Linked DNA regions of Cricetulus griseus. The protein of the gene in region 2 interacts with the protein of the main gene of each other region in a pairwise test. Links are inferred from orthologs where the notes say so. Each region holds a gene or a part of one and is shown on either strand. Other genes may lie near its edges.

Region 1 (2,317 bases), on a different chromosome or scaffold from region 2:
GGGTGTTCTCTCTGAATTGGGACCTTGGAAACCAGGTCACATCTTGCCAGGTATGGCCAATTAGGAAAACAGACAATCATGTCATATATGATACATGTTGAAGGGATTGGGTAAAATCTACTCAGAAAGGAGAAAACTTGAGAGTTAACACATTATTTACCACCCACCACTCAAAAGGTGGCCTGGAGAGGAAGTCTGGACTTAGGGCAGCTTTAGGCAGGCAACAACCCACGACAGAAAGGGAGATTTTAGCTCCCTAATAAGGAAGAAATCTCCAGTGATTAGAGCTGGCTGTGAATGAGCTCCCTGGAAATAGTCAGACTGGAGGCTTTTACTATGACAGCAAATTCAATGAAAATATTTTTGAAGGATGAGGAAGACAAACTATAGATGTGTGCCTTGTGAGTGCTGTGGGAAGTGTCTGAAAATTCAACCTGGATATCCACTCCCAACAAAAGCCCGTGAAGCCGCTTTCAAAGAAGACGTCAACATGCACTGTATTGGGCAGGACTCTCCCATTCACTGAGGGATAGGATTTATTCTGTGTTTAACAAGGGTACTGGGTGGATCCTGTGTGCATTCATCTGTGTCAGACGATAGGCTTCTGTGCTTGGGATAGGGGCCTCGCAGAACCTGCCTTGTTGTCTGTCCTGGGTCAGCTCAGAGTCTGGCATCATGTTTCTCTACACCCAAGCTCTAGAACTAGCTTTGCCTCTGCATGCAATGTGATCTCAAACAAATTAACTTTTCTGAAAAACCCCTCACCACATTTCTAAAATAAGGCTGGACAACAGGATCACTAACATACCTTCTAAATGACACAATTTTATTAAAACCAACTTTTCATATTAATTGATGTTCTCTCGTCCTCCTCCCACCATATAACCTTTGACTTCTTCATAAGCCTCCCAAGTACGGGGGATTGCAGGCATGCAATACCATGACTGACTCAGTTTTCTGTCAATCAAATTACATTCTCATTCTTGAGTACTGAGCTCGTGAGCCACTTGCTTTGCATAAACTCTAACTGTACTTCATCTGCATGTCCTAAAAATCCCTAAGAAACTCCCTCTAAAACTGTAAGTGAAGTCTATTAGGGAAGTATATTAGAGTAAGGGTATTCAAATCAGCTGTGAGGTCTTCCTGAGGTTACCCCTCACCCCTACACCCTGCTTTGTGCATGTTCAGTGAGGGCTGGGCTTCGGTGTGGGCATGAGAAATAGGATGAAAGAGGGTGAGGGCATCATATTGCCTGTGGCAGGACAGGTGACTGACCTGAGCTGGGAAAGCCAATCAGGCCACAGGTGTAATCTCTTCTGAAGAAAACACATGGACTTGAGGGCTGAGGTGTGGAAAGGATGACAGCCCTAAAGGAGATGCTTTCCCCTGCTGCAAACATCCTGGGCTTCCCTTTCACGAGAGTGTCTGAACGGCCCTGGAAACACTGCTCTGTGCTTTTGCTTGACAGCTCTGTAAGCCACTGCAGAGCACTCACAAGCAATGTTTGGGTAACTAAGACAGAGATGGGCCTTCGGTGTAAATGATGCAGCTCTCAAAGGATGCCATAGCTAGAAAATAATCCCTAAGCTCCGAGTGGCCATGTCACTGATGGAGCTGGCAAGTACTTGGAGATATGGTGGTTTTGTCCTTTCTCTCTTTCCCAGGTTTCATGTAAGAGGAAAACACTGTGAAGCAGAGAACTCTGGGAAGCCACTACACTGGCTGAGTCATGGAGGGAAGGAGAAAGAAGTCAAGAAGGACCAAACATGAAGAACAGAGGGAGCTGCAGCTGGGACCTTCAGGTCAGATCAGAGCCTGGTCATGGACAAAAGGAGAAGACAAGAGTTTCAAAACAGAATCAAACAGCAGGAAGCCAGAGGGCGGCTGGAAGAGAGATAGGTGGATTGGTGCTGACTGCTGCCACATCCAGGATAGCTTCAGAATGAGGCGATGGCCAGCCTAGGGAAAGAGCCACTGTGGACAAAGTGTAGGTGGAGACAGTGAGGGGAGGCTTTGGCTGCACTGAAGAGCAGACTTTGCTTCAAGTTGGAATTGTGTCTGCTCCTTCAGACTGTTCTTAATACAAACTGTGATCACATGTGGGAGGGAGGCACTGGGTGAAGCTCCTGTGTGTTCCTAGAAGGGAGAATGGACTGGAAAGAAGCGCCGTGTGCCTGGTGGCAGGAGAGGGCAGGCACAGAGGGGCACAGAGGGGAGGCGGAGACCGGTGGGGAGCTCTGGGTTTCACCTGAATGGAGCTCCTTCACCAGAGATGACATGGTATTGGTGATGGAGTCGGCAGCCACCAGCAGATCGT
Region 2 (3,500 bases):
TGTCGTTTAATTGCTTTAATGTTTCTTATTTTGTACTCTTAAGAATCTGTACCAAGGGGCAGTGGATATTGTACCTGGCTGCTGCTAGCCTCTGCCCTTACATAATGAGTTGGTTTGGACTGTTCTGGCAAGGAATAGAATGGAATTACCATTCTGGGGAGAGTAAAGACCTTGAGAAAAGCCTTTTGTGCCCTGGTTATGGGAGCCAAGCATCCCTTATCATTCTGAATGTCAAACACTGAGACCCATGGTGAGGTCACTGTGCAGCTGAGTAGGAAATTAAACAAGGTAAGAGAACTAAAGTTACAAGGCTGTGCTCTAAGTCACTTGTAGATTTAGAATTGGACCTATGGTACTGTGTGCATGTTGGGACTGTGTTTGATGAGTTTCTTGTCACAACCAGGTAATAAAGTTAAAATATACTGTAAGCCGGAAGTCTATAGACAGCTACTGGAAATGTGCCTAAGATCCTTTTCGGAACCAGTCTCTGTTGACCATACATTTAGTCCTCATTGGAATCCACTGGGACCTGCTTGGGGGAGAGGTGTGCTTGTCACAGTGTGGCACTTTTGATGGTAACCCTGCTGTTTATTTTTACATTGTTCTAGGAAAAGTTGCTTTCTCCATAAGGAAAACAAAAGAATGTGGTAAAAATTAAGCACTCTAAAATGAAATGTTCCTCAAGTAAACACATAATTTTACAGATTTCCATCCATTTTTTTAGAGAGATCTCACAAGTGCTGTGATTACCCATGTGAACCACAGTTTCCCATCTTAAATGCCTATCTTGATCTGTTCCAAGCAATAGGCAGTTCCTCCAGTCCGTCCCCTTCCTAGCAAACACCAATGGGAGATGGGATCCCTGCTCTCAGATTTCCTCACAACTGAAATGCTTAGCTTTTCTATTGGGCATCAAGTCGTTTCTTTATTCAAAGATAAAAGTTAGTGGTAACAAGTAGAAACCATTTGGGGGGGGGGTATTTTTTGGTATTTTTTAGACAGGGTATAAAACCCCAACTGGCCTGAAACTCAGAAATCCACCAGAGGCACCACACCTGGCAAAAGGATACATTTTATCCTTCATTTTATACATTAACTCTTACCTTAACATGTTTTTATAGAAATGAATTCTGGGTCTTTTCTTTACTGCTTTCTTATTGAGAGGTTTTGGAATCTTCAGATTTCACAATAGTGTCCTCACTTTCTACTCTTCTCTTTATGTTGTACATATAAAAAACATCTATAGCTTATATTCATTATACTTTCAACTTCAAATTCATTACAGAAATGTCAGCCAAAGAAAGTTGAAATATTGGCTCTGTTCTTTTGTTGTTGTTATTTTTAATTTTTTATTTACTTTTATTTATGTACATTGATGTTTTGCCTGCATGTATGTCTATGTGAGGGTGTCGGATCCTCTGAACAGGAGTTACAGACAGTTTTGAGCTGCCATGTGAGTGTTGAGAATTGAACCTAGGCCCTCTGGAAATGTAGCCAGTGCTCTTAACCACTGAACCATCTCTCCAGCCCCTTGGCTCTGTTCTTAAAGCTCATGGCTGGAAATATTTTACAGTAGTTTATGATGGTTTTTATCTTAATGGTTTATAGGTGGATTAATTGGGGCTTTGTTTTCTTTTCTGTCTCACATAATCCTTGGATTTCTTATTGGAAGAGCCTGATTATTTCTGGCTTCTTGGATTTGTTTTTCCTGTGTCTGAAGAAAAGTCTACAGGAGCCCCAAAGATAAACTACTCCTTCATAAATAGATAGAAGTACCAACAGAATGCCAGCATTATTGTTCATTACTAGCAGATCTCTGCTTAGAATTTCTGTTCTCCATTCAGCAAATTTTGATTGCATACTCCCATCTTATATAGTGCTTTAAATGCATAACCAATAAGAACAACTAAAACACCCTCTTTCAATTCCTGACCCAGCCACATTTACAACTCTGTATTGTAGACTATTCAAAGCCCAATGCTAGGAACAGGCTTCTGTTGTCTTCATTAGTGAAATGCATGTGGATTTGTTTAAAGTCTTTCACTACCTTGCAGTCATATACCTAAGAGATCTGATACTAAGTGCTCCAGTTCTGTGAAGTTCATTCTAATAAGTGAATACATCCCCTCCCAGGCTCTCCTGGTCTGACTTCTGCTCACTGTTTCTCCAAGGAAGATGTGATCCTTATGCTTTGGGCACTATTGTCTATTTAACTTCTGAGAACTAACTTTTGTTCTTGATTCATAGAAAGAAACAGAGGTAAAGGAACGCTCTGTTTTTGACATCCCTATATTTACAGAAGAATTCCTGAACCACAGCAAAGGTGATCACTGCAGTGTTTTTGTGTGTACCTTGGATCTTTGACAGGGGATTTAGCTCTCGGGGGTTCATTGCTCAAAAGCACTGACTGATAGCCCTCCTTAGGACTGGAGAGGACTCTGTTACAAAGAATGTCTGTTTTTTAAAAAGAAAGTAAAAGAAAAGAAATTACAAAGCTGATTCCATTGCAGGACAGATGGGTATCCATAGCTGTGCTTAGCCATTCTTCCTCGATACCCCTGTGAGGATCTTCAGGCTTCTCACTGCACAATTTTAAAAGCAAATTTTAACAAAATGCTGGGAATTGCCACTGTTTGTTGCAATCTTCTGTATAGAATGTGTTGCTTTAAGAATTAAAATAGCTCTGGGGAGCCAGGCGTTTCATTGTTGAAATTGCTATCTGGAGTGTCATAAAGAGAATTGGGAGATGAGGAGGGAGCTAATGAGAGACAGCTAGAAAGAACTTCCTTAGGAGGGTTACCGAGACTCCTCAGAGGCGCCTTCTCTTACCACATGTATTCTGGGGGGCATGTGTTCTCAGCTCGTGAGGCAGAGCTGCGACAGCTTCGTAAATCCAACATGGAGTTTGAAGAAAGGAATGCAGCCCTACAAAAGCACGTGGAGAGCATGCGCACAGCAGTAGAGAAGCTAGAGGTGGATGTGATTCAGGAGAGGAGCCGGAACACTGTCCTTCAGCAGCACCTAGAGACCCTGCGACAGATGCTGACCAGCAGCTTTGCCAGCATGCCCTTGCCTGGTAAAGTCATCCTCTCCACACTCTTTCCGTGACGGGGATAGTGGGCCGGGGTGGGGATGGGGTGCTGTTTATTGGGAGTCCCAAGAGGAAAGCGGGGGCAGGTTGTCCTTATTGAGACTTTCTTTTTATTTCCCCCTCCAGACAGGGGGTTCTCTGTGTAACAGCCCTGGCTGTTCTGGAACTCACTCTATATAGACCAGGCTTGCTTTGAATTCAGAGATGTCTGCCTCTGCCACCCAAGCATCAATAGAAAGGCAGGGCACCTCTAATCCTAACACTTGGGAGGCAGAGGCAGGAGGATATGTGTGAGTTTTATGCCAGCCCTGTCTACATAGTGAGTTCCAGGATACCTAGGACTTCATAGTGAGACCCTGTCTCAAAAAAAAAAAAAAAGGATTTTTTTTCAGTGAGACATATTATAGAA
Region 3 (3,500 bases), on a different chromosome or scaffold from region 2:
AGGGTACTTCCAAGTCCGACCCACCAGTGCCTCACTGTGAGTTAGGTCCAGCCCAGGGGATCCTGAGAGGACACTGGGTGGCACTCTTCTACTATCCAGTCCCCGGGTGGTAAGATGCAGGACTCTGGAAGGACTGTTGAGGGAAATGGCCATTGACTCTCCGGTGGGATGGTTGTCTCTCCTAGGGGAGGTGCTACTTCCAGCTCTGTATGAGGAGGAAGAGGAGGAGGAGGAAGAGGAAGAGGCCGAAGAAGAGCAAGTGCAGAAAGGAAGCAGTTTGGCTTCCCTGTCCATGAGCAAGCACCGGGGCCTGAGCCTCACAGAGACAGAGCTGGAGGAACTGAGGGCTCAGGTGCTCCAGCTGGTGGCAGAGCTAGAGGAGACACGTGAGCTTGCTGGACAGCATGAGGATGACTCCCTGGAGCTTCAGGGTGAGCATATGTGACAGGGCAGGGGGCATGGCCCAAAGGCTCTGTGTTTCCCTGGTTCCAAACCAGATGTCCCTCTCACTTCAGGGCTCCTGGAGGATGAGCGGCTGGCCAGTGCCCAGCAGGCAGAAGTATTCACCAAGCAGATTCAGCAGCTCCAAGGTAACTGCCCCCCAAGTCTAGACAGACACTGGCCACCCTAATCAAACAAACCTAACTCAGTACCTTGGTCTCTTTCTCTCCTCTCTATTCTTTCTTTTCTCACCCCTTTCTCTTCTCCCTGCCCCGCCCCTCCCAGGTTCTCTTCTTGCCTTCATTTCCTATCTTTGCATTTCTACATGGCAGTCCTCACCTCCTCTCTCTTGACACCTTTTTCTCTTCCCAACCTCTCCCCGCTCCCTACATCCCTGTATACTTTGTTCTCCCAATCCAGGGCCAGGGGTGGATGATCAAGATGGAGTTCTAGGCTATATTTCTTTTTCTGGTTCCTCCAAGGGGGCCATAGGAGCGAACAGGGAGCCAGCGGGATGAGACTGGAGGACACTCCATGTGTCTTTGAAGGAAACATAAGAACATGAGTTTGCCCCCCCCATCCTCTCTTCCAAAGCCTGTGTCCCTTTGTCTCAGAAATCAGGAAGGCAAGCGTCCCAAATTCCACTGCACTACCAAATAAAGAGGGAGCTTTTGTTACTTCTGTGGGCTTCCGGAAGGTTTTGAGGATCTGCCCTAGAAAACAGCAGGGACTCTGTAGAGAGAGCTGAGATCAAGCCAAATGGAAAGTATAAATGGAGGAAAAAAGGTCTGGAAGCCGTCCTGGTGAGAGCAAGCGAGTGTATAAGAGGAGGAGCAGAAAAGAAGGGTACAAGATGTAAGCAAGGGGAGACACAGGAAAAATGGCAAAGAGAAGAGAAATGGCAGAGATGCAGAGCACTGGGAGGGAGGGAGCGTGGGTGTTGTTTTCATAATATCTGAGCTCTTGGGCTTAGCTTTATCGTGTACAAATTTTTGCTAACCTTGGGCAGGTCACTTTTATCCCTGTGAGTCTCAAGTTTCTTGTCTGTAAAATGGGTTAACTCATTTGTCTGTCAACTATTTGTTGAGATCCATTATATTTAAAGGACCAACAAAGAACACAGTTGACCAAATCCCTAAAGAGTAGATTCCAAAGCTGGGCTGGGTGGCGTAGGCCTGTAATCCCAGTATGTGGGAAATAAAGGCAGGAGAATCAGGAATTTGATGCCATCCAAGGCTTCATAGTGAGTGCAAGGCTATCTGGGCTTCATGAGACCCTGTTTCATTTTTTTAAAAGTAATTCTAAAGGAAAACATAAACAAGTTCAGTTGGCAATAAAGGCAATGCATATATGAACTCAGTGTAGACCTGTGATATGTGGTCGGGAATGAGATAGGAGTCCATTTTACATAGATGCCTTTGACAAGCCTTTAAGAAGATGGCACTTAAGTTGAGTAATGGGAACGACCCAGACATTCAAAGATCTGATGGAAGGACCCAGTGGGCAGAAGGACCTGAGATGGGAATGAGCGTCATGTGTTGGGGGGACAGAACCAAGGTCATTGTGAAGTGCTTGTGAACGACTCTGGTAAGAGAAAGTTCCAAGAGAAGGCAGAGGTCAGGTTACAAGAGGCCTTTTAGGTCAGCTGACAGGGCTGGGTTTCATTGTAGGTGAGGTAGAGACTACAGGATGCATTTTCCAAGGCTGCAGTCACTGATAAGGTTTACATTTTTAGTTTAGCTTTGCCTTTTTCCTCCACTGTCAAGTGTTCTACGACCGAGCAACATCCCTAACCCTCCAAAAGAGTCCTTTGGAATGCAGGGGGAGGAGGAGGAGGGAGTCAAGTATGCTAGTAGTTCATTTAACCAATTGTTTTCTTGAACTAAGGCAGTAGAAATGGAGATGGCTCAGAATATGTTTTGAAGGTGGAACCTTCATGAGTTTACCCAGGGAAAACGGGTAAATAGTGATATCTTTTTTTTTTAAGATTTTATTTATTGATTCTGTATACAACAGTCTGCTTCCATGTATATCTGCACACCAAAAGAGGGCACCAGATCTCATAACAGATGGTTGGGAGCCACCATGTGGGTGCTGGGAATTGAACTCAGGAACTCTGGAAGAGCAGTAGTGCTCTTAACCTCTGAGTTATCTCTCCAGCCCTAAATAGTGATATCTAATAGGCATGGAAAAGGTTGGCAAGAAACAAGTTTGGGGACTAGGGAAACCATTTAAGAGTTTTTTACTGGGTGAGTTTGATGACCAAATGAGTATGTGAAGAAAGCATTTGGGTGTATGAATCCACAACTAGGGAAGAAACAAGGCCTGGAAATGAGATTTGGTATTTTTTTTTTTAATTCAAACCTCAACTTAAAAAAAATTATTTTATGTATGAGTATTGCATCTGCATGTACACCTTTATGCCAGAAGAGGGCATCAGATCCCACTAGAGATGGTTGTGAGCCACCATGTGGTTGCTGGGAATTGAACTCATGACCTCTAGAAGATCAGCCAGTGCTCTTAACTGCTGAGCCATCTCTCCAGCCCCTGACTTAGTAGTTTTTAACGTGCATTATAATCTATGGGAGATGGGCATTCAGTCACACCAGGAGATGCCAGAGGGGAAAGGCCCAAGACAGGAGGACCTTACAAAGGAAATGGTGATAGAAGGAACACCTAAGTCCATTCTGCCCTGAAAGCCAAGAGTAGACAGAAATGCTTCTGCGAAGGCAGGTGAGGTGGCCCCTGGAGTTGGCAAGATGGAGAACCGGGAGACAGCGCAGACTGGATTGGAACTGGAGAGAAAACAGGAGGTCAAACGGAGAACTGAGCACAGATCATGGCGATGACCGTTTTAAAGAGGAATAGGGACAGAGAGAGAAGCGGGGTCAGGGGAGAGGGCTTGTCTTCTAAGGAGCCCTTGATCTTGTTTATACGGTGAAATTGAGCCAAGTATTAGCCCTTGCTTCGAAAGGAACATTCTTCTCCTTCCCAGTATGGCGAAGTCTGAAAATCTGAAAAGGGAAAGGAGCTGTTGCTAGATGCCCATGACTCCCGGG
Region 4 (4,287 bases), on a different chromosome or scaffold from region 2:
ATGACTCTTTGGCATGTGATCCTGCCTTAGTCTCAGGTTCCCTACTGATCTTTGCACTCTGGAGTCCAACCTCTGGGGCAGGCAAAGGAGAACTGGAGACAGAGGGAGCAGGAGCCTCTGGTCTGGGGAGAAAAGAAACCAAGCCTGTTAAATGCACAGAAGGAAAGTAGCAGCTTCCCCGTGCCTCCCAAGCCTGAAGAGCAGTGTTTCCTAAACTGAGTTCCTGAGTTTTTTGTTTTTTTTTTTTTTCTTTTCCTCGGTTTTTTGAGACAAGGTTTCTCTGTGGCTTTGGAGGCTGTTGGAACTAGCTCTTGTAGATCAGGCTGGTTTAGAACTCACAGAGATCTGCCTACCTCTGCCTCCCAGAGTGCTGGGACTAAAGGCGTGAGCCACCACTGCCTGGCTAGTTCCTGAGGTTTTTTTGTTTGCTTTTTTGGAGATAGAGTACATATGATGGACCTGGAATTTACTAGGTAGATGAGGCTGTCCTTAAATTTACAGAGATCCACTTGCCTCTGCCTCCTAAGTACTGGGATTAAAAGTGTATACCACCACACCCAGCTTGAGTTCCATAAGATCTTAAATATTTTACATATGAAAGATTTTGGAATTAGGAACTTGAGAAAAGCCAGCTTAATAGTTCTACGCTTTTGCCTCAAGATTTTCCATAACCAGGTATGGTGGTACACACTTTTAGTACCTGCAGCACTTAAGGGGCAGAGAAAGGCAGATCTCTGTAAGTTTGAGGCCACCCTGGTCTAAATAGCAGGGTTCCAGGACAGCCAGGGCTACAAAGGGAGATCCCCTCTCAATAACAAACAAAAAAGTGTACCACTATGCCCAGATTATGTTACTTTTTTTTTTTTTTCCTCTGTAGCCCCGGCTGGCCTGGAACTCAGAGACCCACTGGCCTTGCTTCTGGAGTGCCAGGATTAAAGGCGTGTGCCACCATCCAGCAATAATGTTACTATTTTTTTGTGTGTGTGTGCATTATTTTGTTTTTCAAGGCAGGGTTTTTGTTTGTTTGGTGTAGACTTGGCTGTCCTGGAACTCACTCTATAGATCAGAGATCTACTTGCCTTGTCTCCGGAGTGCTGGGATTAAAGTGTGAGCCACCAACACCCGGCTAAAATTTATTTTAAAATCACAAACTATCACCAGGCGATGGTGTCCCACGCCTTTAATTGCAGTACTCAGGAGGCAGAGGCAGGGGGATCTCTGTGAGTTCGAGGCCAGCCTGGTCACCAGAGCAAGTGCCAGGATAGGCTCCAAAGCTACAGAGAGAAACTCTTGTCTTGAAAAACCAAAACAAAAAACAAAAACAAAACAAACCACAAACTATCATTTTTCTTTAAACAACATCTCCACAAGATTAGTGTTTCTCAGAGTACAGTTTGGAGAGCAGTAACTTCAGAACCATCTATTTCCTTCTACCCTTTCCCACTTCCGGATTTCCCCCTCTACAGACCTGTGCTTCCTCCGGCAGCAACTGCTATAGTGAGGAGCTCTGTGCAGAGCACTCTGGGTGATTAATCGAGTCTGGGTTAGCAAAGGTGCCTGGTTATCAAGAGAAGAAGACACAGTTGGAGATGTTAGGCAAAAGTCCTGTTGCATGCAGTACAGCCCTGCCTGAACAACACCTGACCAGATCTCTCACCTCGGCTTTGCTTTCTGTCTTCAATTCATTTTGCTGTCTTGGTTTTTGCTCTGTTTTCTTGCCTGATTGCTTTTTGCCATAGAAGAGCTTCAAACCTGAAAAGGAAAGCAAGCACAACATCAAGTAGACTGACAAAATGTTCAGAGTGTATTCTCTATCATTCCTCCACTCCCCGCCTTCTCCTGTACTTACTGGATAGGTGCTTCTTGCCTGCACGGTGGGCAGTCAGCATGGCCAGCGTGTCCAGGACTGGTCGATGGGGGCAGATAGCGCAAGCAAAGCTAGGGAAAAGAGAAGTGAATGGCAAACCCGTATGTGTTGGAGAGCCGGTGGTTGGGGTGTTCCTACTTAGGGGCTATGCCTGTCAAAGCACTCCACCAACGCCCAGGTCTCCCGATCGCCACCTCTTCCAATCTTCACTTCCAACCAAAGGATCTATTACACTCCTGATCTCCTTAGAAACCAAAGTCTGTTGAGCCTCTGATAGCAAATCCCCAGGCTTGATCCACTCTGCTCTCACCGTCCATCCCGCAGCATTAGCGCCTCATCCTCTGGGATGTAACTGGCCAGCAAGTCTCCAACTCTTCGTTTCTGCAGAGAGCAGGACAGGAGAAACGAATATGAGGGATGGATGAAAAGAAATAACAGGGATAAAGAGTCAAATGGAGCAGACCATAGGGTAAGAAGGAGGAGGCATCACTCAGTTCTGGCCCCCGAAACCCCCTCCCACAGATGTCGCCAGAGCAACAAAACAATGCAAAGCGCGACTGAAGCTGGGCTCTCCCTCTCTCTAGTTCTTTGATTTTTCGAGACAGGGTTTCTTCGTGTAGCCTTGACTGTTCTAGAGCTGGCTGTGTGGACCAGGCTGGCCTCGAACCTCAAACGCAACACGGACACACCGGCTTTTGCCTCGCAAGTGCTGGGATTCAAAGCGTGCGCCACCACTGCTCGTGGGTAGACTCTCACTAGGGCTTACTTTGAGCACATTGAGCTGACTCCAGTCGTCACCTTCCCTCTTGAAAGACATCACGACTGTGAGTCTTAGAAATAATAAATTCTCCTACGCCTACTTTGCCTCTCCTTCGGGCCACCGTAGGAAGAGTAGGTTATCGCCTTCCCTGCTTCCGGTCTTTTTCTGATTAAGTCTTTACTTCCGGGGATGCGTTTCCACGCATGCACCGCGCGAGCCGGAAGACCCGCCTCCAGAGCCCTGAGGGTGCCTGCATTTCCTATGATGCCCTGAGAACGCTTTGCCTTTTGGGAAATGAAGTCTTTTAGTTATTTTCTTTTTTTTGTTGTTTTTAAAAGACCTCACCGCTCACCTGAGTACAGGCACTCACATCGCGAAGGACCCAGGTGTTTGGAGACCAAGAACCTGTACGTGGAGCCGGAGTTTCAGGGTGGGACCCTCCTGGCGTGGAGCGAGGCTTCGGGGATCTCAGTGGACCGTGTACTGCAAACTCTCTCAGTCCCCAGGCTCACCGTCCACAGCCACGATCTACCTGGGGTGGGCCTGATTTGGAGCAGAGAGGATGTGGGGGCTCCCGGCGGCCCGGCTGCGGGACGTGGGGACACACTGAGGGGAGAGTGTTGATGAGGGTGTCTAGGGTTCAAAGGTCAGAGATCAGGCTTGCAAGGAGTTGGGGAGAGGGCGTCGAAAGTCGAAGGGGTCGGCGACCGACCACTCAGGGAAGATATTTATGGGCAAGGGTCTTGAGGAAGGAGAAATGTAACCGGCCTGGCAGCCTTCTTAGGGTACGGACTGTGACCCCAAGCTCGGTAAGCAGCAGCAAGAGGAGCATTGATGTAGTCTCTCGAGAGCGGGGACACTAAAGAGAGAAGTGAGAAGGAATTCCTAGAATATCTATCCATTCCTGGGGTTCGGCCCTCACTGTTGGTCACTTAGCTTTCCTCAGTTGTGACCCTAGATCTTGGCATCTTGAGATGGCTTCTCCCTCTAGACAGCCCCCACTTGGGGGGTCAGGGCTGCTGCATGGGAGCCGTGCTCGTTCTTATGGAAGCCTGGTACAATCATCGTGCTCCCCGGTGAGGGAAAGACGCTTGGAGCATCAGTTGGAGCCTGGAGACACCCTGGCTGGACTAGCACTCAAATACGGGGTGACGGTGAGTCTTCCAAGGATTGTGGTGTGGTGACCATTCAGGAGAGATTTAGTGCCCAGGAGAAACTGGGTGGTCTGCTAAGCGGCCTTCCCTGATGTTATATTAATTATATTGTGGTCTCTGCTTTGTCTTATTTTGTTTACACCTCTCAGGGTAGCACTATCCACACTCACAGACCTGCCCTACTATCCCAGTGGGAGGAGCAGCTCCTTGGATTGGGTTGGATGCCGGGATAGGGTGGTGGTTGGGGTGTGGTTTATAGCCATTAACCTATTTGGATCTTGTGCCCCTATCACCGTGAGACTCACCGTGAGACTCACCGTGAGACTCACCGTGAGACTCACCGTGAGACTCACCGTGAGACTCACCGTGAGACGTAAGACGGATAACCAGTTTGATCAAGGTCAAATAACTTTGAGTGTCAGAGTAAGGTTTCAGATAGGTCTGTCTGACTCTAAGTCCCCTACTATTAGCCACGAACAAAAAAACTAAAAGTGAGTAAACATTTA
Region 5 (4,178 bases), on a different chromosome or scaffold from region 2:
TAGACATTCTGTTGAAAAGCCAGTGGTTTGTTTTGTATGACTTTGCTCTAGTGGCAGAAGTTGTTTTGCTGTTGTTTTGTTTGGGGGAAATACCAAACAAAACAACAATTTTTTTCTTTATGTAAATTAACCAAAGCTAGGTGTGGCAAAGCACAGCTGTGATCCCAACGCTCGGGATTCTGAGACAAGAAGATTGTGAATTTGAGCCCACCCTGGGCTACTAACAATAACCTGTTTCAAAATAACAATAATAATAATAATAAATATTCTCTCAAAAATCAGTAAGAAATTAGAGACCATTATGTTGAAGAGTATTACTCAAAGTGTGATCAGAGGGGAAGTCCTCATACTGTTTGCAATCAGTACAGAAATTGAAATGTTTCTAAACCTTTTCAGCACTTCGTTATTGTCCTAATGGTCAAGTCCTACTGATCGATAGACTTTTCTTATTTGAGAACCCAGCAGTTCAGATATCATATTACTGAGCTGCAGGAGGCTGGGGCAGCTTATTGGTAATGCATAAAGGATTCCCATGCTAGCCAGCCAGAGACAGAATGGAAAGGAGTAAAGAACTGCCCTTCTGCATCAAGTGGATTAAAAAGAATGCCAGCATTTTATGCCGTCGGATAATTGATCTGCCAATATTCAAAAGTTAATTTTTAAAGTAGAAACATCAAATGATATTGCAATATGTCTCATGAAAATTTGTGTATTGTCGCTAAGCTTTCATCTTTGAGAGTGCCCTGCCATCTTGTGGTTGTAGATGTTTCTATAACAGAGACCCATTATCTTAGGCTTAGCCCAAAGAACTAAAACAATCCGCCCCAGAGCAAGCGCTTCAAAGAGGCTTTTAAGCCCATTTTCAAAGAATGGAATGGACATTAGAGAAAGGAAAGAAAAACATTTTCCCATGTCTCTTCATGTGCTTATCAACTTACCTACTTTGGAGACTTATGTATCCCTCTCTGGCCTGGATGTCACCGTGTAGATCAGGATGGCCTCAAACTCATAGAGTTGCCTCAGCCCTCCAATTGCTGGAACTGAAGGCGTGGGCCACCACCCCAGGCTCACCCAGCTCTTGGAACAGGGCTTCACGACCTTAGACGTCTGCTTGATCTCAAAATGCTCTATGGGTGTGTTTAGAATGAATCACTTTCTACTCTGTTGTATTGGCGAGAGGGGCGGGGGGAAAGACCCTACTGTGTCTACCAAACATTCTCGTTCAAATCACGACAAAAAGGGAGTAAGTGAGGCTGTAGGTTCGAGCACACTAACTTTGGCTGGTTTCTAGAGGACAGGAAATACTGTGCAGAGAGTAGACGACTGAGAAGGGAAAAACCACAAATCCCAGGATGCCAAAGTGACAGCCTACAACTCCCAGCATGCTCGAGGAATAACAGGGCGACTGCGCAGATTGGCGCGCGGGTGCTCCTGGGACGTCAGCATGGCGGCGTTCGCAGATTTGGACCTAAGAGCGGGCTCGGACTTGAAGGCTCTTCGGGGACTGGTGGAGACCGCTGCTCACCGTGAGTCTACTGGCTTCGCCCCGCGAGCCCGGCCCCTCGCTGCCCCCATACCACCGGTTTGCTTGGTAGTTTTTCCAGGCCCTATTATTGGGTCTCTCGTGGGATTGCGGCATTTCCCTAGAGGCAAATGGTAGTTGCTATGTCTCCCGGATCCCTGGCGTGTGAAACTCACAGGCTACTGAGGAAGCTGCCGTTGCCTGGGCTTGCACAGTCTTTCCGTGCGGAGGGAGAGAACAGAGGCCAAAGGGGTCGAGGTGTTGGCAAGGGGGCTGTGAGCTGATGAATGGTAGGCTCTGGGACTGGACTCCAGGTGTACAGTCCCCTAAGCCGGTGGGTGCTTTTAACGTCAGTCCTTTTGGGCCCCGACGACATCTGACAAATACAGAAAGCTGGGTCGCAGGCAGGAACTGCTGTGGACTCTTAGAGAATGGGGAGGGTGTTACCTTATTTCTCCCGAGTTTTAAGTTCCTTGGGGATGAGCATTAATCATGTGTGCTGTCGCCTGCCATAGGGTCTGTCAAATAATGGATGCTCTAATAGCTTGAACTCGGGAGTTATTAGACTAGTTTGCCATTACCATGCACTATCTTTTATATTAATACTCTATCATCTTGTTGGTCTTTAGACAACTTAAAGACAAGAGTCGTGATTTAGATGTGTTGGCGACAGAGGCACTTTTCCAAGCAGTGCTAACTGTTGTGAGGATAAGGCAAACCGTCGTTTTCCCTGTCTTTTACTGTAGAGCACCTCAAAAGAGGTGTAAGGGATTCGTCCTTCCATTGCACCTTCGGGTAAGGGAGGAAATAGAGCATCGCAGAAGAAATGAATGATAATGAAGGTGACGGAAAGACACATAAACTTGATGGAATAAAAATGAACAAAGGGGCAGGAAATCCTGAGAATATTGTTTGGAAAGCAGAAACAAGGTGTTTTTAGTGTTTTGCTAGCATAAATCACAGCCTAAATATGTGCCTGGCACTCTTCTAAAATGCTTAATTTTCATGACACTCTGAAGTGCTGTCTGCTGTTAACATCACTTGACAGATGAACAACCTGAAACATAACAGTAAATATTATTAAACCCTCTTACTTTCCAAGTCTAGAAACAGAATCCAGGGCTTTGTGTATGCTAAGCAAGCATTCTAACACTTAGCTACATCCCTAACCTCATCTCATACTCTTGAACAAGAAAGAATATTTTTTAAATAATCTATTTTTTTTTCAGTTGGATATTCAGTTGTTGCCATCAATCATATTGTTGACTTTAAGGAAAAGAAACAGGTAAAATAAGATTTCTCTGATTAATTAGTAAATAAATATTAAGACTTTACAAGCCCAGCAGTGGTGGCACACGCCTTTAATCCCAGCACTCCAGAGGCAGAGGCAGGCAGATCTCTGAGTTCAAGGCCAGTCTGGTCTACAAAGCTACACAGAGAAACCCTATCCCAGAAAAAAATATCAAAAACAACATTTACAAATATTTGTATTTGTGTTGGGAATAAGGAACTAGAAATGTGGACTTGTTGCAATGACCACATACTTAACAAAAACAACACAAGGAAGGAGGAGTTTATTTTCTTATACTTTGAAGGTATGGCAGCAGGAGCATGAAGTGGCTAGTCACAGTTCCTCCTCGGTCAGGAAGCAGGAGATGAATGCTGGGGCTCAGCTCACTTTCTCCTTTTTAGTTAGTTCCCTTAGAACTCCAACCCATGAAATAGCTCAGTTTGCATTCAGGGTGGGTCTTCCCTCCTGGGTTAACCCTTTATGGAAACACCATTATAGAAATACAGAGGTGTGTTTCCATCATCATTTCTAAGTCCAGTAAAATTGGTAGTGAAGCATAAGTCATCACAAGCATGTTTGCGTTTTGAGACAGAATCTTATGTGTCCCAATCTGGCCTGGAATTCAACTGTGTTGCCAACGAAGACCTCCTGCTAAGATTACAAGCCCATGCCCAGTTTATGAGATGCAGGGGTAGAAGGCAAGGTGGTGTGCATTTTAGAAATCACTCTACCTCTACTTACTGAGCTGCCATGTGGCAAGTCTTCTCTGTACTGCTAGCTCCCAAATAGTGAGACTTCTTATTATGAAAACTTGGCCTTAGCTGAGGGTTGTTTCTAACTAGCTCTTATGACTTAACCCATTTCTGTTAATCATCGTGCTGCCATGTAGTTTATGGTTTTTACCTCTCCTCCTACACGTCATGCTTCTTCTGAGTCCAGCTGTGACTCCCCCTTCTTCCCAGAGTTCTCTCTGTCCAGAAGTCCCACCTATACCTTCTACATAGCTGTTGGTCATTTAATATTTATTAAAACACAGTGACATATCTTTACACAATGTAATCAAATACCTTGCAACACTGTGTCTCCACCCTCTCTACTCACTGGGCTGCATCCCCAACCCTCAACTATACTTCTTTAAAAACACCCTATGCTTACTCTTTTACAGTAATAACTGAACTAATATATATCATACAAATTCAAAGATGTTTAAAATTACATTGCTGTTAAATGAGCTATAACCACGATATCTTGTTACCATGGTCTTATTAACTCATTTACTGATTTTTTTCCCATTTATTTATTTATTTATTTATTTATTTATTTTTCCGAGACAGGGTTTCTCTGTGGCTTTGGAGGCTGTCCTGG
Region 6 (3,302 bases), about 66 Mb from region 2:
TGTCTTCCTTTATTGTTCCTTATCTTGGTTGTTTTGTTTTTGAGACAGTGTCTCACTATATAGCCCTGTCTGGCCTAAAATTCACTATGCAGAACAGGCTGGCCTGGAACTCACAAAGATCTGCACTAACCTCTGCCTTCTGAGTGCTGGGTTTAAAGATGTGTGCCACAACACCAAGCTTTGGTTTGGTCTTTGGGATGGACTCTCATGCTATAGCCCTGACTTCTTTTTATTTATTTATTTATTTGTTTTATGTTCATTGGTGTTTTGCCTGCAAGGGTGATGGACCCCTGGAGCTAGAGTTACAGACAGTCACAAGCTACCATGTAGGTGCTGGGAATTGAACCCCCAGTCCTCTGGAAGAGCAGCCAGTGCTCTTAAACCATTGAGCCATCTCTCCACCGTCTATAACCCTGAATTTAAACATTGTTCCTGCCTCAGCTTCCTGAGTGCTAGGATTACAGGTTGGAACCACCATACCTGGGTGCTTTGTCCTTCTGATATATAAAAATGGTCCCTGCTGTAGTGTTTTGATTTGTAATTCTCCATTCAGGAGTGAGCATTGATGGTAGAGCACCCACACTCTTGACCCCTTTCCCTCCTTTAGCAATTCATGAGGTCAGAGCACTTATCTCAGAGGATGCGCTTCCCTGGTGGCTTCCTCATCATGGCCATGTCTCTGACAGAGTTTCTGCTGCTGAGCTCGGCAGGGAGGCGCCTACCCTAATGGCATCTAAGCTCCAGGAGCAGACAGGGCCATGGAGCTGGTAAATTATCTCTGTCTCCCTCTGTTTTGCTCAAGGTGCACTCAGCTGAACACCAGAGTGGCCAAACTCAGCACGGAGCTGCAGGAAGAGCAGGAGCTGAACAAGTGTCTCCGTGCCAACCAGCTGCTGCTGCAGAACAAGCTGAAGGAAGAGGAGAGGCTGCTGAAGGAGACCTGTGACCAGAAGGACCTTCAAATCACGGAGATCCAGGAGCAGCTGCGTGATGTCATGTTCTACCTGGAGACACAGCAGCAGATCAGCCACCTGCCTGCAGAGACTCGGCAAGAGATCCAAGAAGGGCAGATCAACATCCCCTCAGCCCCCAACCCGCCCTCTTCAGGGGCCGGTGGGAAGCTGCCATCCAGGAAGGGCCGTAGCAAGAGGGGCAAGTGACCTTGAGAGACTTGTCCCTGAGACTTCCTGGGCACTGCAGGGTGTGCTGGGACCTTTGCTGAGTGGGAGGGTGGGCCCTAATAAGTATGCCTGAGGACGAACTGCGGTCGTGTGGCTCCTTCATTTGTTGTGTGTGGTGTGAGGAGACTGAAAGAGGATGGCACTGGCAGCGCTTCCCCGGGTGGTGAGTCTCAGACCTCAGACACTCATGGCCACTCTGCCCTCCAGCTGGGTGGATCCCAGGCTTCTGTGTTCTTCCGTTGTATTTATTCAGTTGGAGCGCTTAGAATTTGAATTCTGGGGTAGGTTTATGACATGATGTGACCTCAGAGGCAGCATTACCTAGCACTAAAGCACAGCACCTCTCAGGGGTCCCAGCTGCCTTCAGGAGAGGGGCCTGCTGCCCACTGCAGAGCAATCACCTCTCTTGCCATCCCTCCCTTCCCTGGTGGAGTTGAAGAGCTGCTTGAATGTCGCAGAAAAGAGGCACAGGCTTGTCCTCAGCATCCATCTAACCTGGCTTGAGGGCCAAAAAAACAAGGAACTGGGTCAGATGGAGTAGACCCAATGTAGGGAAGATGGTGACAGCTCTATATTTGAGGTAACTGAGAATATCCTCCATCTAGCAGGAGTCAGCAAGGGGCAAGCCTGGAGAGAAGTCCTGACAAGCTATGTGTGACCAGTCACACCAGTCAGTGGATATTTACTGGTCACAGGCTGGGCTCATGTTCAGGTCACAGCTAGGGGGAGCATGGGCAGATTTTCAGTTTTGCTTTTAGGATTTAAGCAAAGGCTGCTTCTCACTCCAGAACCTGGCTGCCGCAGAGCCCCTTTCAAACAGCCATATGATACTTAAACTGTGACCAACAGAGGGGTTGTTTGTGCCTCTCTACAACCAGGAACATCAGATAACTAGTAGAATAGTAGTTGAACAGAATTGAGGGGACACCATGTTGGGATTGATTTGGCTTCTAGAAGAGCTTGGGCAGTTAGGGTAGCAGTGTGTAGTGCATTTTAATTTTCTGCTTTATCATCAGCCAAAGGTTTGAAATGTCACACTTTAAGACTTTTTTTTCCCTGATTGGACCTCATCCTTTGACCTGAATGTCTGATGTGTTGTCACAACATTGCTTGTGTTGCTGATCCTGTGCAGTTCTGTGGAATGTGCTCTGGCATTTCCCAAAACCCCACCTGTAACTGCAGAATGAGTGTACTCAGACCCACATGTTTCTTCCTGAGGGTAGACCAGCACTCCAGATCCGAAGCCTGAGCCACACAGGCACCTGCAGTCAGGGCAGGAGCAGACCCGCCTCTCACTGAGCTTCTTTATCTAGAACGCATTTTACACTGTTACAACCCTGGTCTCAGCCCCACTAGTCTTGTACATCTGACCTTGCAGAAGCTGGGATGGGTGGTAACATGCTAATTAAGAGAATTGGAGTAGTAGACAAAGCTGGCTCCTCATTTCATTAAAACCCACCCAGCAGCCCTGCAGCACTTCATAGCATAGGTCTGGGAAGGCTGTGGCCAGAGGAAGCAGCAGATGGGCAGAGGTTTCCAAACTACTTGAAGGTCTTAAAAAAATGTTCCAGGAAAGCAAAAATCAAGATGTGTAAATAAAATGTTATTTTAAAAGGTCAAAGAGTTATGTTTCGATCTGACATTTGTACAGGATGGAAGCTGTTAGTGTGTTCTTCAGAACAAAGATGAAGCACTTCACTTTCCCACGCTCCCTTGGCCGATGAACTCTTACAAAAATAGCCAGAAATTATTTCTTCCCTATGTGAAATTTGCATCTATGATATTGCTTGGGAGCATACATCTAAGAGTGCCAATGGCCTGCTTTGTTTGTTTGTTTTTCATGACAGGGTTTCTCTGTGTAGGCCTGGCTGTCCTGGAACTCACTGTGAGATCCATGTGTGTTTGCCCCACTATGCCCACCTGTGCTGAACCACCACACCTAGCCTTCATTTTGTAATGATACTCCTTCTTGAGTCTCTGGACATGGTTCCTAACAGACCTCAGGCTTCATTCCTGAGAGCTATATTGCTGACCCAACAAATTCCTCACTGGAATTACCTGGGAAAATGTGGCTTTTGTACTTGGCACAGAGCTGCTCTGCTGCAGATAGCATTTGTTACT
Region 7 (2,175 bases), on a different chromosome or scaffold from region 2:
ATATTGTGTTATTTGGGAATAAGAAAAAGTCTATACCTCCAGTAATATTTCTTTTTCTAGAATATTTCCCATCTGCAGTTGGTTGAATCTGCAGATTCAGGACCCCACAGGTAGGCAGGTCTTACTGTATCTGCCCCTGCGACCTCCCCCCTCAGCATTCCTAGCCCCCCCCAAATCCTTTACACCTTTCAGACACTATCCCCACCCACTCCCAGCCATGAGTCTGTTACTCTACCATCCCAGCGGAGCTCTTAAATATCACCTAACTTTTTCCAGCTCCCTTTGCCCACATCTCATCTGCGAAATTTGTTCTGATAAGAGAAGGGCTCTGACACAGATAGGGAGCACTCTGCCCTGTCTGCTTCCTGGTGGGCTAAGGTAGAACCATCACACATCCTCTGTCCTCTGAGCACACTCATGAATGCTACTTTGCAGGCCATCTACAAGATGGTGTCCTCTGTGATGAAAATGCCTGAAGATGAGTCCACACCGGAGAAACGAACGGACAAGATCTTCAGGCAGATGGACACAAACAATGATGGTAGGACATGGGGGGAGAGGGGATGTTTGTGTGGAACTGTTGATAGCACAGATGTGTTTGGGATATGCACTCTGCAGCCCTGGCCCTGCCCCTTCCTCTCCCACCTGATTCAGCTATGCTGAAGGAAGACTGGAATTCAGGGTCAGGGACACCTACCCTGCACCCTGTGCCCTCCCTATGGCTTTAGGACCATGGGCATGTCACTACCCCCTCTGAGCTGTAGACTTCATCCATGTTGTCTTGGTTAGGGTCACTATTGCTGTGATGAAACGCCATGACCAAAAGCAACGTGGAGAGAAAAGGCTATATTTGGCTTACACTTCCATATAGCAGATCATCAAAGGATTCAAGACAGGAACCTGGAGACAGGAGCTGATGCAGAGACCATGGAGCGAGGCTGCTTACTGGCTTGCTCCTCATGGCTTGTTCAGCCTGCTTTCTTATAGAACCCAGGACCAGCAGCCCGGGGTGGCTCCACCCACAATAGGCTGGGCCCTCCCCCCCCCCATCACTAATTAAGAAAATGACCTACTGGCCAGGCATGGTGGTGCATGCCTTTCATCCCAGCATTTAGAAGGCAGAGACAATCGGATCTGAGTTTGAGACCAGGCTGGTCTATAAAGTGAGTTCCAGGACAGCCAGGGCTATTACACAGAGAAACTCCAGACTCGAAAAATCAAAAAAAGAAAATGTCCTACAAAGTTGCATACAGACATATCTTATCGAGGCACTTTCTCAACTGAGGCTCCCTCCTCTCTGATAACCATAGCTTGTGTCAAGTTGACATGAAACTAGCCAGCCCACATATTAACGGCGATAGTGGTTTTACTATTTTCACAGGTATTTTTAGGGAGGGAAGGCAAGTATACTGTTGGCCTGAGAGGTGAGAAGTAAGAGGACTGAATCAAAGGGCTTTTGAGTCATGGGATCCTGAGAAGCTGGCCAGGCTTCTCTTGCCATCACCCTGAGATGTGAGGCGCTCCACATACTTATGGCAGTCAGGCATGGAAGCCTCATCTGTCTGTGGCCATTGTACCCAGGACTCTGAGGTTCTACCATGGCTGCAAAACGGCAGGTCTCAGGTGGAGGACAGGTGGTGAGAGGTTCATGAAGGTATTCCCTATGTCCTCCTTTGCCTCAAATGTGAGTTTCTTGCAGGACCCCAGCAAGGGTGAGGTAGCCTCGTGCCATGACTTGATTCTGCCTGTCTGTCTGTGACTTTGTAGAGCCAAGACTGATTGGCTTTTGTTCCACCAAGAAATGCACCATTAAGGGGGAAAAAGGCTCCCTGGGTTGTGCTGAGATTAAATGTACGCTAATGCACAAGAAAGTGCCGTGAGGAGCCTCAAGTGCTGTGCGCAGGTGAGCTAAGGACGGAGCTCAGCAGGACACGAGGTTCTCGTGGAACTGTAGACAACAAAAAGCTTTCCAGACAGCAAGGAAGTGCCTTTCAAAACATGTTCACACACAAAGCAAGACAGCCTCTTGCCTGGTGCTGCCTTTGGGCCGACTTCAAAAGCATTCTTCGCTCTCGTGTGTGTCATGACTCCAAAGCTTTGATTCCAGCGCACTACGTTGAGGCTTGGCCATTTCCCAGGCTTGGCTTTCTTCTCCATGAAATGGGGAGAAACCCA

The links.
Region 1: the proteins of Hmg20a (region 2) and Dtnb interact in binary tests that used the Homo sapiens proteins (3 or more experiments, as listed by UniProt). The two-hybrid records come from large-scale screens. The link is inferred for Cricetulus griseus from reciprocal best matches to the Homo sapiens genes HMG20A and DTNB.
Region 3: the proteins of Hmg20a (region 2) and Ccdc136 interact in binary tests that used the Homo sapiens proteins (3 or more experiments, as listed by UniProt). The two-hybrid records come from large-scale screens. The link is inferred for Cricetulus griseus from reciprocal best matches to the Homo sapiens genes HMG20A and CCDC136.
Region 4: the proteins of Hmg20a (region 2) and Scnm1 interact in binary tests that used the Homo sapiens proteins (3 or more experiments, as listed by UniProt). The two-hybrid records come from large-scale screens. The link is inferred for Cricetulus griseus from reciprocal best matches to the Homo sapiens genes HMG20A and SCNM1.
Region 5: the proteins of Hmg20a (region 2) and Rpp30 interact in binary tests that used the Homo sapiens proteins (3 or more experiments, as listed by UniProt). The two-hybrid records come from large-scale screens. The link is inferred for Cricetulus griseus from reciprocal best matches to the Homo sapiens genes HMG20A and RPP30.
Region 6: the proteins of Hmg20a (region 2) and Brap interact in a two-hybrid assay, tested with the Homo sapiens proteins (2 studies listed by BioGRID and IntAct). The link is inferred for Cricetulus griseus from reciprocal best matches to the Homo sapiens genes HMG20A and BRAP.
Region 7: the proteins of Hmg20a (region 2) and Hpcal1 interact in binary tests that used the Homo sapiens proteins (3 or more experiments, as listed by UniProt). The two-hybrid records come from large-scale screens. The link is inferred for Cricetulus griseus from reciprocal best matches to the Homo sapiens genes HMG20A and HPCAL1.

What each region holds. Positions count from the first base shown.
Region 1 is NC_048600.1:14,662,214-14,664,530, reverse strand, and holds the end of Dtnb (dystrobrevin beta), read right to left. Parts: coding exon 2,094-2,317; 3' UTR 501-2,093; downstream 1-500.
Region 2 is NC_048597.1:167,992,512-167,996,011, forward strand, and holds part of Hmg20a (high mobility group protein 20A), read left to right. Parts: intron 1-2,247; coding exon 2,248-2,323; intron 2,324-2,860; coding exon 2,861-3,076; intron 3,077-3,500. UniProt on the Homo sapiens protein: Plays a role in neuronal differentiation as chromatin-associated protein. Acts as inhibitor of HMG20B. Overcomes the repressive effects of the neuronal silencer REST and induces the activation of neuronal-specific genes.
Region 3 is NW_023276806.1:198,417,705-198,421,204, reverse strand, and holds part of Ccdc136 (coiled-coil domain-containing protein 136), read left to right. Parts: intron 1-185; coding exon 186-431; intron 432-515; coding exon 516-590; intron 591-3,500. UniProt on the Homo sapiens protein: May play a role in acrosome formation in spermatogenesis and in fertilization.
Region 4 is NW_023276806.1:61,367,091-61,371,377, reverse strand, and holds the start of Scnm1 (sodium channel modifier 1), read right to left. Parts: upstream 2,801-4,287; 5' UTR 2,685-2,800; coding exon 2,634-2,684; intron 2,249-2,633; coding exon 2,178-2,248; intron 1,939-2,177; coding exon 1,850-1,938; intron 1,753-1,849; coding exon 1,658-1,752; intron 1,558-1,657; coding exon 1,469-1,557; intron 123-1,468; coding exon 1-122. Other genes in the region: Lysmd1 (lysM and putative peptidoglycan-binding domain-containing protein 1), read left to right, coding at 2,922-3,034, 3,586-3,781. UniProt on the Homo sapiens protein: As a component of the minor spliceosome, involved in the splicing of U12-type introns in pre-mRNAs. Plays a role in the regulation of primary cilia length and Hedgehog signaling.
Region 5 is NC_048596.1:25,691,145-25,695,322, reverse strand, and holds the start of Rpp30 (ribonuclease P protein subunit p30), read left to right. Parts: upstream 1-1,378; 5' UTR 1,379-1,444; coding exon 1,445-1,526; intron 1,527-2,751; coding exon 2,752-2,807; intron 2,808-4,178. UniProt on the Homo sapiens protein: Component of ribonuclease P, a ribonucleoprotein complex that generates mature tRNA molecules by cleaving their 5'-ends. Also a component of the MRP ribonuclease complex, which cleaves pre-rRNA sequences.
Region 6 is NC_048597.1:101,540,755-101,544,056, forward strand, and holds the end of Brap (BRCA1-associated protein), read left to right. Parts: intron 1-802; coding exon 803-1,160; 3' UTR 1,161-2,802; downstream 2,803-3,302. UniProt on the Homo sapiens protein: Negatively regulates MAP kinase activation by limiting the formation of Raf/MEK complexes probably by inactivation of the KSR1 scaffold protein.
Region 7 is NC_048600.1:26,723,585-26,725,759, reverse strand, and holds part of Hpcal1 (hippocalcin-like protein 1), read left to right. Parts: intron 1-435; coding exon 436-541; intron 542-2,175. UniProt on the Homo sapiens protein: May be involved in the calcium-dependent regulation of rhodopsin phosphorylation.